Linked DNA regions of Caenorhabditis elegans. The protein of the gene in region 1 purifies or fractionates together with the protein of each later gene. This does not show direct contact. Each region holds a gene or a part of one and is shown on either strand. Other genes may lie near its edges.

The links.
Region 2: the proteins of Y19D10A.16 (region 1) and snrp-40.2 fractionate together in Caenorhabditis elegans (co-fractionation; one large-scale study listed by BioGRID). This does not show direct contact.
Region 3: the proteins of Y19D10A.16 (region 1) and srp-1 fractionate together in Caenorhabditis elegans (co-fractionation; one large-scale study listed by BioGRID). This does not show direct contact.

The regions. Positions count from the first base shown.
Region 1 is NC_003283.11:2,390,933-2,394,669, forward strand, and holds Y19D10A.16 (Aldose 1-epimerase), read left to right. Parts: upstream 1-1,839; coding exon 1,840-1,984; intron 1,985-2,080; coding exon 2,081-2,235; intron 2,236-2,283; coding exon 2,284-2,382; intron 2,383-2,570; coding exon 2,571-3,083; intron 3,084-3,134; coding exon 3,135-3,215; downstream 3,216-3,737. Other genes in the region: srd-75 (Serpentine Receptor, class D (Delta)), read left to right, coding at 3,553-3,737.
Region 2 is NC_003279.8:4,191,412-4,196,269, forward strand, and holds the start of snrp-40.2 (WD_REPEATS_REGION domain-containing protein), read left to right. Parts: upstream 1-1,829; 5' UTR 1,830-1,836; coding exon 1,837-1,914; intron 1,915-2,524; coding exon 2,525-2,623; intron 2,624-3,012; coding exon 3,013-3,110; intron 3,111-3,299; coding exon 3,300-3,465; intron 3,466-4,175; coding exon 4,176-4,298; intron 4,299-4,858. Other genes in the region: cas-2 (C-CAP/cofactor C-like domain-containing protein), read left to right, coding at 1-426, 1,268-1,612.
Region 3 is NC_003283.11:751,718-755,624, reverse strand, and holds srp-1 (Serpin domain-containing protein), read right to left. Parts: upstream 2,343-3,907; 5' UTR 2,268-2,342; coding exon 1,972-2,267; intron 1,762-1,971; coding exon 1,586-1,761; intron 1,377-1,585; coding exon 1,210-1,376; intron 1,160-1,209; coding exon 857-1,159; intron 801-856; coding exon 642-800; 3' UTR 501-641; downstream 1-500. Other genes in the region: str-262 (Seven TM Receptor), read left to right, coding at 2,846-3,028, 3,152-3,239, 3,282-3,360, 3,446-3,580, 3,627-3,780, 3,829-3,907.

The DNA.
Region 1 (3,737 bases):
TAGATCTACAAAAAATGCGGCAGACTTTTCAACTGATTTTGCATGGTTAAGAACGTGCAGACGTCACATTTTTTGGGGGCGAAAATTCCCGCATTTCTTGTAGATCAAACCGTAATGGGGCAGCCTGGCACCACGAAAATTATTTTTTCAGCACAAAAGATTTTAACTTGACTTCAAAAGGTTTTAACAAATCATTACAGTAAAAAACACTTGAAGTAGGCTCCGCCTATATCTTGGCTTTCAAAAAAAATTTTTATTTTTATTCGCATTTTCTTCTCACTTAATTTCAGTTCTCTTGAAGTTTTCAAAATAATTATTTTTTTAATTAATATAATAATTTATGCCTGAAATTATTTACCTATTTTTTTGAGGAGTTGTCGAACTTTGAAATGGTTTTAAAAAACATTGCAGAGCGGAGCAAATTAGGAGCAAATTTTTATAAACTTCAATTTTTAGTAATGAGAAACAATTTTTAAGGGTGGACTACCTCAGGTTTGGATGACAAATTTGGCAAATAAGCAAATTGCCGGTTTTCCAATTTGCCGGAAATTTTAATTTTCGGTAAATTGCCGATTTGCCGTTTGCCGAAAATCGATTTGCCGGAAGTTTTTAGAGGAATTTTTTATGAGACGGAAACCCTTAAAACTGTGCCTTTTTGGAAAATTTTTCCCTTTTTCTTTAGATATTTTCATAGAATTTACTTACTTTGCGTGCAATTTTGTCGATTAAAATTGAAATTCTGAAATTTTCAAATTTTCGTCATTTGCCATTTTTCCGTCAAATTCGGCAAGATTTGTGTGTTTCACTTTCGGCAATTTTAGCCGATTTGCCGCAAATTTTCAATTCCTCCAGTTTGCCAATTTGCCGGAAATTTTCAATTCCGGCAATTTGCCGCATTGCCGGAAATTTTCAATTCCGGCAATTTTCCGATTCGCCGGAAATTTTCAATTCCGGCAATTTTCCGATTTGCCGGAAAAAATCATTTGCCGCCCGCGATTTTTTTTTGAATTCCCGCGTAAATAAAAAACCTAGTTTTGGTATTGCTGTGCTCTCCAACTATATTAATTAGTTTTTTTTATTCCGGCAAATCGGCCATTTGCCGGATTGCCGGTTTGTCGATTAGCCGGAAAATTTCAATAATTTTTTTTCCAAAAAAAAAATTCCTTAGGAAATTGAAATTTTGTTAATTTTCTTTTTTCATTTTTTTACCCAAATTCCCTAACCTAAATATTCCCGATCAAAGTGCATACAAAAAAACGGATCAATAATTCTGATCCAGTGGTCCAGTCACACCAAAACGTTTGACCGAGTAAATACACTGCTGCTGCAGTAATGTTTTTTCTTCTTATTATTACTGCGTCTCTACGTGACTTGGGTCACTCTCCGATTTTTTAGGTGTCTTTTTGTTTCGTCCCATTTTTATCAGTTCACGTTTATTCCACGTGTCACATAAATTGAAGGTTTAATCCTCTTAATTTCAATTTTTGGTCGCTGGAATTTTGCGATAGTGAAACATTTTAAGCTTTCATTTTCCCCATTTTACTTTGAGTTTTCTGAAAAGTGTCAAAGTGTCCCATTTCGGTGTGATCTACCAAAAATGCAGGAATTTAGACGCAGACTTCTCAACAAATTTCGTATGGTTAAGAGTGTGCTGACGTCACATTTTTCTCTGCAACAAAGTCCCGCATTTTTTGTAGATCACACCAAAATGGGACTGTTTGACGGCACGTGTAAATTCTGAAAATTACCTGTTTTGCTTGCCCGATTTTTCTCCTTTTTGCGGCCGTGTGCTTTTTGCCAATTTTCAATATTTTCATTTCCAGAGCCCTCTCTACCATCATGGCCTCAGGATTCATCGAAATTGCAAACAAGCAGGGTCTCACCGCGACTCTTCTCCCGTTCGGTGCCACGTTGGCAAAATTAACATTTCCGGACAAAAACGGAAAGAATCAGGATTTGGTGTTAGGATTTGACACTATTGATGGTAAGATTTTTGTCTAAATCTAAGCCTTAGTCTATGCCTATGCCTAAGTCTGAGCCTAAGCCTAGTCCTAAGCCTAAGCAAAAACCTTCTTTTCAGAATTCGAAAAAGACGCCGCCTCTATTGGAAAGACTGTCGGAAGAGTCGCGAATCGAATCAAAAACTCGACATTACACTTTGACGGGAAACAGTACACAATGACGCCCAACAACGGGCCGCATTATCTTCACGGCGGGCCCAATGGACTGGGATATGTAAGATATTGAGCCTGAAATTATTTCCAGGATTTAATTCAATTTCAGAGAAAATGGGAAGTAGTCCGCCACGCTCCAGAGTCGGTTTCCTTTAGCGTTCGGGCCAATGAGCAGGATGACGGGCTTCCTGGCGATGCGAAAATTGATGTGAGTTTTTTAAGCGCCTACACTTGGTGTCAGAGTGTCTCATTTAGGCTTGATCTACGTAGATCTACAAAAAATGCGGCAGAGTTCTCAACTGATTCCGAATGGTTAAGAACGTGCTGACGTCACATTTGTTTGGGCAAAAAATTCCCGCATTTTTTGTAGATCAAACCGTCTAAACAATTTTCCAGGTAACCTACACTGTAAATGACCGTAACCAGCTCATCATCGAGCACCACGCGACATGCGACACCCCGGGCCTGCTCGCTCTCACCAATCACGCCTACTGGAACCTAGACGGCTCGGATACCGTCGCCGAGCACTTTCTGGAGATGGAAGCCGACGAGTTCGTGGAGGTGGACGATACGTTCTGCCCAACTGGAGCCATCCGATCCGTCACCGACACCGGATTCGATTTTCGGAGTGGGAAGCAGCTGAAAGAGTCGGGGAAGGACGCGGAGGAGTTGCTGGATTTGGATAATGATTTAGTGATCACTAAGAAGACCCCGCCATCAACTCCATCGACTTACTTGAGATTTTGGAGCGAAAAGTCTGGAATTGAACTTTCCATCACAACTTCTTACCCGGTTATTCATCTCTATGCGTCGAAATTTTTGGATTGTAAAGGCAAAAAGGGGGAGCATTACAAGGCCAACAAGGCGTTGGCAATCGAGCCACAATTCCACTCGGCAGCTCCAAATTTTGTAAGTCATCTTGTTCTTGTAAAGTGTTTTAAAACAAATATCTGAATTTAGGATCACTTCCCCGACGTCTCTCTTCGCCCGGGAGACCACTACTGTCAGGAGATTGTCTACACATTTTCTCATGTTAATTGATCAATTTGTAAATTAATACTGTATTTATGAATATTTTCTGCTTTATTTCTTTTCCTCTGCCGAAGCCGAAGCCTAAGCCTAAGCCTAAAAATTAGCCTAAGTTTAGGCCTAATTAGGCCCACGCTAAAGACTAGACCTTAGCCTAAGACTAGATAAGCCTAGTTTTTATTACTTTCATAGTTTCTGCGTTGCTCTATGTAGCTGTGGATGTTGACTTCTAACACCTGGTGTTGTTTTGATATTAAATAATAATTTTTGGCAATACCTTTCTAGCCTATAATTACATTTCTCCTATAGCCTAGAAAAATTGTTTCAAAACGTTTACGCTTTTTGGCACATGGAACCCCTGCAAACAATTTCTCGAGTCTATTGGACAATATTCTTTTCTATTTGTCTGTGTCTTCACTCTTCAATGTTCCTTTTGATCTACTACCGCACAAGTCGAACCATCAGAAACTTACGGTGGTTTTTATATCCTTCGAACACGGCCTCTTTCGTACTTGCTACAGTTGCTTTTATATT
Region 2 (4,858 bases), on another chromosome or scaffold:
TGGAATTCGGATCCCGGTGCGACTCCGATGTGTAACAGGAAAAGTGGAGGAGCTCCAACGCCGCCGCCACCACCACCTCCACCAATTTCATTGATTGCGCCTTCCAAGCCTTCTGGTGTCGGTGCTCTACTGGAATCTCTCAATACGGGATTATCGGCTACTAGTCGTTTGAAGAAAGTCACCCCTGAAATGCAAACTCACAAAAATCCGGTACTTCGTGAGGTAAATGGACAGATGAATCGAAAAACTGAAGAAAGAAAGGTGAGCGAGAACAAGAAACCGGAGAAAATTCACGAATCGAGCATTTTCTGGGATGGAAAGATTTGGAAAGTTGATCATCAAGTTGGTAATAAGAATGCCGTCGTTGAAGTTACGGATAAGAAGGAATCGATTTATATTTACAAGTGTAACGATTCTATTATCAAGGTTAATTTTTATTCGATTATTTTTTCGCAATTTCACACAAAATGGCCGGTTTTTCAAGGCTTTTATATTGAAAATCAGTGTCAAAATATATAAAACCTTTTTAATTTTTTAAATTTAAAAATGTAATTTATTTCAGTTTAAAAAATAAAAACTCGGCCACTTTTATGCTTTTTCTCAGATGTTTTAAGTGGAATAAATTTTATTTTCAGATGAAACAAGTCATTTTTGACACTAATTTTTAAGTTAAACAAATTGTGGCTATAAAAACGTAAAATTTTCGGTTTTCCAGAAAATCGAAAAATTTATCAAATTTTGTTAATGTTGATGGAAAAAAATAAAAAGAAAACATATACATTTTTTTCTGAAAAGAAGAAAATGACCGAAATTTTTAGATATTTTTCGAGAAATTGAAGCTTTTTCGAAATATCTGAAAAACTAGAAATTGAAAAGAAACCAAAAATTCCAATTACGGATTTCCTGTTTTCCATTTCCAAAGAAATTTTTAATGTTTCGAAACTAATATCTTTAAATTCTGGTAATTTTTCTGTTTTTTTTTTAGATAAAATTGATATGTTTTCTTATTAGTTTTTCATCAACATTAACAAAATTTTAGAATATATATTTATGTTTGATTTTCTGAAAATTGTTTTCTTGAAAAAATTCGAAAAAACCGACACCCTTTTCGAAATATCAGAAAAACTAAAAATCAAAAAAATATGACGAACATTTTCTGTAAAACGAATTTTTTTTTCGATTTATTAGAAAATTGAGAAACTGACACCCTTAATTCTAATGGATAAAAAAATTTATCAAAAAAGAAAGTCTAAAAATTAAATTACAGATCAAAGGAAAGGCCAACGCAATTACATTGGACGGATGCCGTAAAACTTCAGTCGTATTTGATGGTCTTGTTGCTCAATGTGAAATCATCAATTGCCAATCAATTCAAATTCAAACTCTCGGAGAACTTCCAACTGTTTCGATTCAAAAAACCGATGGATGTCATATCTATCTGTCACGTGATGCTTTGAATGCTCAAATTGTTGCATCCAAATCCAGTGAGATGAACATCTCCGCGATGTTGGAAGATGGAGACGATGAGTACACGGAAATGGCATTGCCAGAGCAGTTTATGACGAAGATTGTTGGAAAGAAGCTTGTCACTGTCGCATCTGAAATTGTATAATTAGCTTTAAAGTTTTAATGCATTCTCCGAATATCTCCCTACTATCCCTCATCTCTTCCTCCTGCTGGATCTCGTTCTCCTATCAAAAAATAAATTATTTTCTGTGATTTTTCTCGTTTTTTAATTTGTTTTGATTAACGCTGATTATTAATGCTTCAAGATATTGGAATATTTAGGAAAAAGCAAATAATCTGAAGCCACTTTCCGAACATTACAGGTGCAAAATGGCGATGGTAATCCCAGCTCGCAATCAAATGGCTTCACAATTTTTAGAGTTACCCAAAAGGACTTCAAGCTTGATGGTTTGATTTTTAGAAATTTTTTGTTTGGGAAGAAATTTGGCTTTTTCGATTTTTTTTTGTTTGAAAAAAAAAGTATTTTGGAATTTTTCGTTTTCTCTCGATTTTAAAAAAAATCTAGCTTTTTCGAAAAAATAGCTTGAATTATATTTTAGATTTTCCAGTGAATCAAAGAAAAAATTCGCTGAGAAATTGTGAAAAATTATTTTTCAAAAATTGAGAAATTTATGAAAACATTGAAATTTTTGAAAAATAACTAAAAATTTTGCTATTTTTCTTTTTTACAGAAGAAATTTGTTTTATACGAAAAGATGCGCGCCTTTAAAGAGTACAGTAAAGAGTACTGTAAAACTGCTGTAAGAGTACTGTGTACTTTAAAGAGTAATATAGTACTCATCAACATGAAAAAAATTGTAACAATTTTTGAACTCAAATTTTTTTTCCGATTTTTTAATTTTTCGTAATTTCGACAAAATTCGATAAGACAATATAAAATTTAAAAAAATTTTTTTGGAATTTTTCGAAATCATATTTTCAGAAAATCGAAAAAACCGCCACCCTTGTTAGAATTACAAAAAATTGCAATTTTTCGACACAAAAAAATAAATTTCAGGCTCCAACAATGGTTCTTCAAGGACACGGAGGAGAGATTTACACGTCCCAATTCAGTTCGGATGGAAGTTTTCTTGCTAGTGCCGGATATGATCAACAGGTTTTTTGAAATTTGACGTTTTTTACATCAAGAATACGGTACCCAGGTCTCGACACGACTGGTGCTTTGTAAAATGCGAAATGGTGTGTGCCTTTAAAAAGTACTGTAGTTTTCAACTTTTGTTGCTGTGGAGTTTTTTTTAAATAAAAATTAAACTAAGAGCTTTTATTGTTATATTTGACTTTCCTGATAAATAAATATATTTCTTTTCGTAAAAATTATAAAAATTCGATGAGAATTCCGCAGCAACAAAAGTTTGAAACTACAGTACTCTTCAAAGGCGCACACCTTGTCGTGTCGAGACCTGGTACCGTACTTTTGACGTAAAAATCGCTTCCGTGTAGCAATAGAATAGCGTTTCACTGAAATTACACTTATTTTTCATTCAGATCTTCCTGTGGAATGTGTTTGGCGAATGTGAGAATTTTGCAGTTCTCAAAGGGCACAAAGGAGCCATTATGGAAGTGAAATTCAACGCGGATTCGAGGTTTCTTTTCTATTTTTATTTTTCTGATTTTCAGCGTCCAAAATAAATCCCGAGGTTTTATTTTCCGTCAGTTTTCGGTACAATTTTCATGAAAATTTGGAGATTTTTTCGCGTTTTGGACGCGGAATTAAAATAGATTTTATTGAAAAATCCATCCAAATACCCAAAAAAACTTTTCCAAAATTTCAGTCATCTTGTATCTGCTGGAACCGATAAAACCGTTCGTGTCTGGGATATGGAAACCGGTTCGTGTATTCGAAACTTCAAATCTCATACCGATATTGTCAATTCGGTTGATGTGAATCGTCGAGGTCCTCAAATGATTTGCTCAGCGTCGGATGATGGAACTGTCATGGTATAAAGATCTTAGTTGACACGAAAATCGGATTTTTCCAAATAAAAATACATTTAAAAGAAATTGAAAACTTCCAATTTTAAAATTTTTCTCAACTTTTTTTGATACAAAAAATATATATTTTAGCCACAAAAAAACGAAGGATTCTAGAATTTATATTGTGAAAGGAAATTTAAAAATGACTTCTTTTTTTGAAAAATTTGAAGTTTGAAAGACGTTTGAGCAAAAAAATTTCGCAAAATATTTCGTTGATATTTTTTGAGCCATATTCAATAACAGAAATTAGGTGCTTGGAAAGTTTTAGATTTTTCAAAATTTTCAGTAAGAGTTTTGGTAAATTGTCAAAATGCGAAATATGTTGTAACCCTAAGTACAGTTTTCAAATAATAATTAATATTAACATAAAATAGTTCTCGTTAAAAAAATTTTTATCGACTTTAAAAAATTACGATAGGCGACAACTAAGTAATTGCCACTTTTTTAACAGAAATAAAATATTTCTAAATAATTATTGGAAATATTTACAATGTTTTTATGCAATTTAAATCGAGCTTTAATAATAAAAAAAGTGAAATGAAACTGTCAAATTAAATTATTCGAAAATCCTGAAATACACTCTTATAATTGTGCAATTAAAAATCTTAAATACCACTTTTAAAATTCCATAATAAATTTTAAGTTTTTTTTTTCATTGAAACGAATATTTTCAGGTTCACGATATGCGGAGCAAGGAAGCGGCGAAAAAGTTTATCTGCAAATACCAACAGACGGCTGTCACGTTCAACGATGCCGCGGATAATGTTATTTGTGGAGGAATTGACAATCAGATTAAGGTTTTTTTTTTTGAAAATTTTAACACAAGGGTCTTCACAAGAAATTCAAACCCTGAACCCATGAAAATGCGGTTTTTTCATTTAAAAAAAATTTATAAAAGTTGTTTGAATGTAGAAAATAAATTTGGAAGATTTTTGAAAAACTGTGTACTGAATAGCCGCTGAAATTTTTGTGGTGACCGAGTTTAACGAAATAATGACGTCACATTTGAAAGTTCCGAAAAAGTGCAAACATAAAGACTATTGTAGAATTACGACTATAGTCATTACTACAATAACCCTAATAGATTCCATTTGGCTCTTTTCCATTCATTTGCCCTCCAAGACCAATTCTAGTAAAACGAAAGTGGAAAGGAAATGAAAAATCTGTCGCTCAATCCTTTTTCATCCAATTAATACATGGATGACGAATTTCCGGTTATTTAAGAAATATTTTGAAGAAGAAGGTTTCTGGAACTAATTGAGAATTGGTTTTGCAAATTTGTAATAAATTCACTTTTTAAGATTTTTTGAAATTTTAGGAAATTTAGAAATTTTAGAAATTTCTTTAAATTCAAAAG
Region 3 (3,907 bases), 1.6 Mb from region 1:
CATATTGCCTGTGCGAATCTGACGAATTAGTGAATTGTTTTGAAGATCGATGTTCTACAGGTATTCTGTCTGAAAACGACTCGAGAATTTAATAAATCAAGGCGGAGAGTAGCGCCTGAACACCATAGTAAAACTTATAAACAAAGTTTTTATTTTATAAAATATCGCTTCAAAAAAAGATAATCAATCAGTTTTTGCGGTTTTTCTTAGAATTTGTCAATTAAAAAATTTTTTCAAATTTTGTAGTCTACTTATATTTCTATTATGAATATTTAACAATTGCGGGGATTCGAATATAGGATTGTGCTGTAGTTTTTTTCAAAAAGTGACAAAAAATGCGCAAAAACCATTGTAATTAGATTTTGGTTCAAAAATCCTATGAGTAGAAATTAAAAGTTTTGCAAATAATTGCTGGAGCTACAAATTATGAAAACTTGACAAATTTAGCCGGTTGCCGCACAACCCTGTTTAACACCTCTCGACGTCCTGCGAAGGCTTAAGTGTTTATTGATGAGTTGCAAAGCCCTGAAAATGTCGGCAGCTTCTTTGCAAGTATCAAACTATCTACGAAATTTAAGTTATGGGAAATCTTTAATTTACAAAATTTCAAATTACACATTTTCTCATCGAATATAAAAAAGTTAAGTGTATGTTCCCAAGAACAATGGAGAATTGTCTTTGATAATTGCAAAAAGGAAGGGGTGATCGACACGAATGTGAAGAGGTTCATCGCTGCTGGCGGAGGTGAAGAAGATCTTGGCTTCGGTGGCAGCAGCGGCTCGGGTTCCGACTTGATCTACCTGGAAATGAAGATTTAAATACCACTGTCAAGATAAAAGTTTCTAAAAAAAATCACCTCAATCAGTGCCTGATGTGTAGCCGACGCCAGCTGAAGCCCCGGCCCGATTCCAGAAAGATCAGCCTGTTCTGTGAACAGCTCCGCGAGCCCGAACTTGGCGAGGGCGGTTTTCAGATTTATCTTATAGTCCATCTTAAATTTGGGGAAAGTCAAAAAGATGTACTCTTGATAGACATTGTTGATAAGATTATGGAATTTCGCAGCGTTCAGGGATTTCAGATTTTCAGCCAAGGCGAATCTTCGCGTTGGGAGGAAAATGGCAAACCATGCGGATTTGTCTTTGAATGGGATACCAATAACCTGAAATTAGATAGTTTTCAGTTTTTTGCTGAACATTTTTCAGCTAAAACCTGCCACTCATCATCCTTGTTATAAAAGTAGTCTCTGGTCTCGCGGAGCATTGGGACAAGGCGATTTTCAGTAGCAGAAATAGAGAAGTTGGATTCCGCGGGTTCCCCGAATTTTCGACGCCAATCGCCTTGGAAGAAAATTGCATTGATGAGAATTGCGTCGACGTCTAAAACTGTTAAAAGTTGTTTCGGAAAAAAAAATCTAAAATTATCGTTTTTAGATTTTTCGATTATCTGATAGTTCAAAAAAAATTTTTTTGAGCCTGAGCCTGAGCCTGAGCCTGAGCCTGATCCTGAACCTGAACCTGAGCTTGAGCCTAAGCCTAGGCACCTGGATGCCCCAGCAGGCATTCAAGTTCCTACACTCAAATCTCACCTTTCAAATTGTCCGGCTTAATCATATCAGGTATCTTTCCTTTGGTACTCTCCGATATAAACTGGTTCATTATTTTTGCGGCTTCCTGAGACTTTTTGAAGTCGATTGTTGCCGTTTCAGCGTTGTAATGCTCGCGGAGCTCATCGGTAAAAGCTTTTCGAATTGCTTGTTCTGGCCTAAAAATTGGATAATCTGAAAATTTGCAACACAACTACCAAAAAAGATTTGAGAAAAAGTTAATTTTTCCGTCAGAAAACTCTATTTTTAAGTTTTGATTTTTTTTTTCGAAAACCCGAAATGATTGATAGACCAGGAATATGCTCAAATACTTTTTTAAATCTTAAACGTACTACAACAAATATTTCCACTACAGAAAAAAAACTCACGAAACAAATAGTCTGTTGGCAATCAAAGTCTCCACATCGTTCACAGAACTATTCAAAAGTTTATTAATAAAACTGAAATGCTCGATAAACTGCTCATCGGTGCTCCCATTCACCACAGAGTTTCGGATGTCATGTCTGGTATGTCCCTTAGCTCCAAGATGCACCAGAGCCAACGATAATAGAATAGACACCGGGGAGAAGACGCATGGTGTGAGCTGGTCGGAAGTTAGATCTGATAGCAGTTTAATACCAAATTGAGCCTCGGTAAATGTAGAATTTATGAGCGAAAAGCTCATAATTACACGATCAATTGATGTGGTAGATGCTTCGGAGAGAAAAATAAAGTTCAAGGTAAAGTGAACAGCTGGTATGTTACACAGGAGTTTGGTTTCGGAGGGGAGGAATCGAGTTTGTTTGTTGTTTGTTGTTGTGTCGGCGTGAAATTTCGCAAGGAATTCAATGAAAAGAATTCAATTCAAAAATTCAATTCATTGTGCGATGACACCTACTTCACATTGAACATAAATCTACTTTTAAAAATTTCAACTACTTAAATTCCAATTGTCAATTTTCCAAGCTTTTCCCTTATTAATTAAAAAAAAACCTATTTCTTCAAAAAAATTTAGACGGAAAATATTTTTTTTTTTCGGGAATACAAATTTGGAAGTTTTCCCAAAAATGGACAGAAATTAAGGTTTTTTTTTCTCATTCTTTATTACGTTTTTTCTGTTATTTTATGCCTACGCACTAGACAGCATTCATAGGCATACACGGAAATTAAAATGGTACTACTTGGTGTTTCTAATCACAAGAGTTGCCACATGATACGATTTACTCTCCCAAACATCGGTTGAAGGAAGTTTTGTTTCAAAATATGCATCTTAACAGCACCTTAATCCTAAACTTGTCAGCGGTCTGCGCAGTTCTTATTAATTTCCTTTTGATTGTTTTAATTCTGAAAAAATCCCCAAAATCATTGGGCTCATATAAGTTTTTGATGCTTTATATTAACCTTTTCGAGTTCTCCTACGCAATTCTATACTTTGCAGAAAAACCTGTAAGTTGTGGGATCTGCCGCAGCCGACAACTCACGGGTTTCAAGATTTAAGTTTAAAAAACCAACCCGTGGAATGTCGGTTGCTCCCATATTTCTCTAACTTAGATAAAATTATTTCCACAGGATCTCTTCACCAAAAAGTCTGCATTCTTTTTGATCGTTAATTGGAAGGAGTCTATTTTCCCAGCAACCATGTCATGTTTAATGGATCGTAGGTACCCCCAGTTTTCTGAAAATCTTAATAGTTTTTCAGTGCTTTTCGTCGGCTTTTTTGGAACGTCCATGTCAATTCTAGCTCTTCATTTCATTTATCGATTTTTCAGCGTCACAAAGTTAGTAATATTTTTCAAATAAAAAAAAAAAACTCCCAAATTTTCAAATATGTTAAAGAAATTTTCAATTTCAAATTGTTTTCAGCAGTCGCTACCTTAAAATCTTTGACTCATGGCTAATTATTCCCATTTTCACAGTCCCTCTTATCAACGGCGTCCTCTATATGATTACCGGTGGTATTATTCTGTCGGCTGATGCGGAAACGGATCGGTTCATGAGGTCTGAACATTTCAGAAATTCTGGTGCTTATTATCATGACTTTCAGAGAAAATTATCTAAAAGTAATTAAAAATCAAACAAATCTTGAAGACCTCTATTACATGGGCCCGTTTTTCTGGCCGAAACTTGAAAATTCAATAACGGAAACGTATTTTAGTTGGAAAGGTGCGGAAGGCTCATTGATAGTTATGGGGTCAATTGTGAGTTTATTTGTAAAAAAAACTGTAAAAAATTGTCAAACATTTTAGGGTCTCTCTAGCTCGATCATGATATTCTTCGGAATTAAGGGATATATAAGTATGAACAATCTACTCGCAATTACAAGCA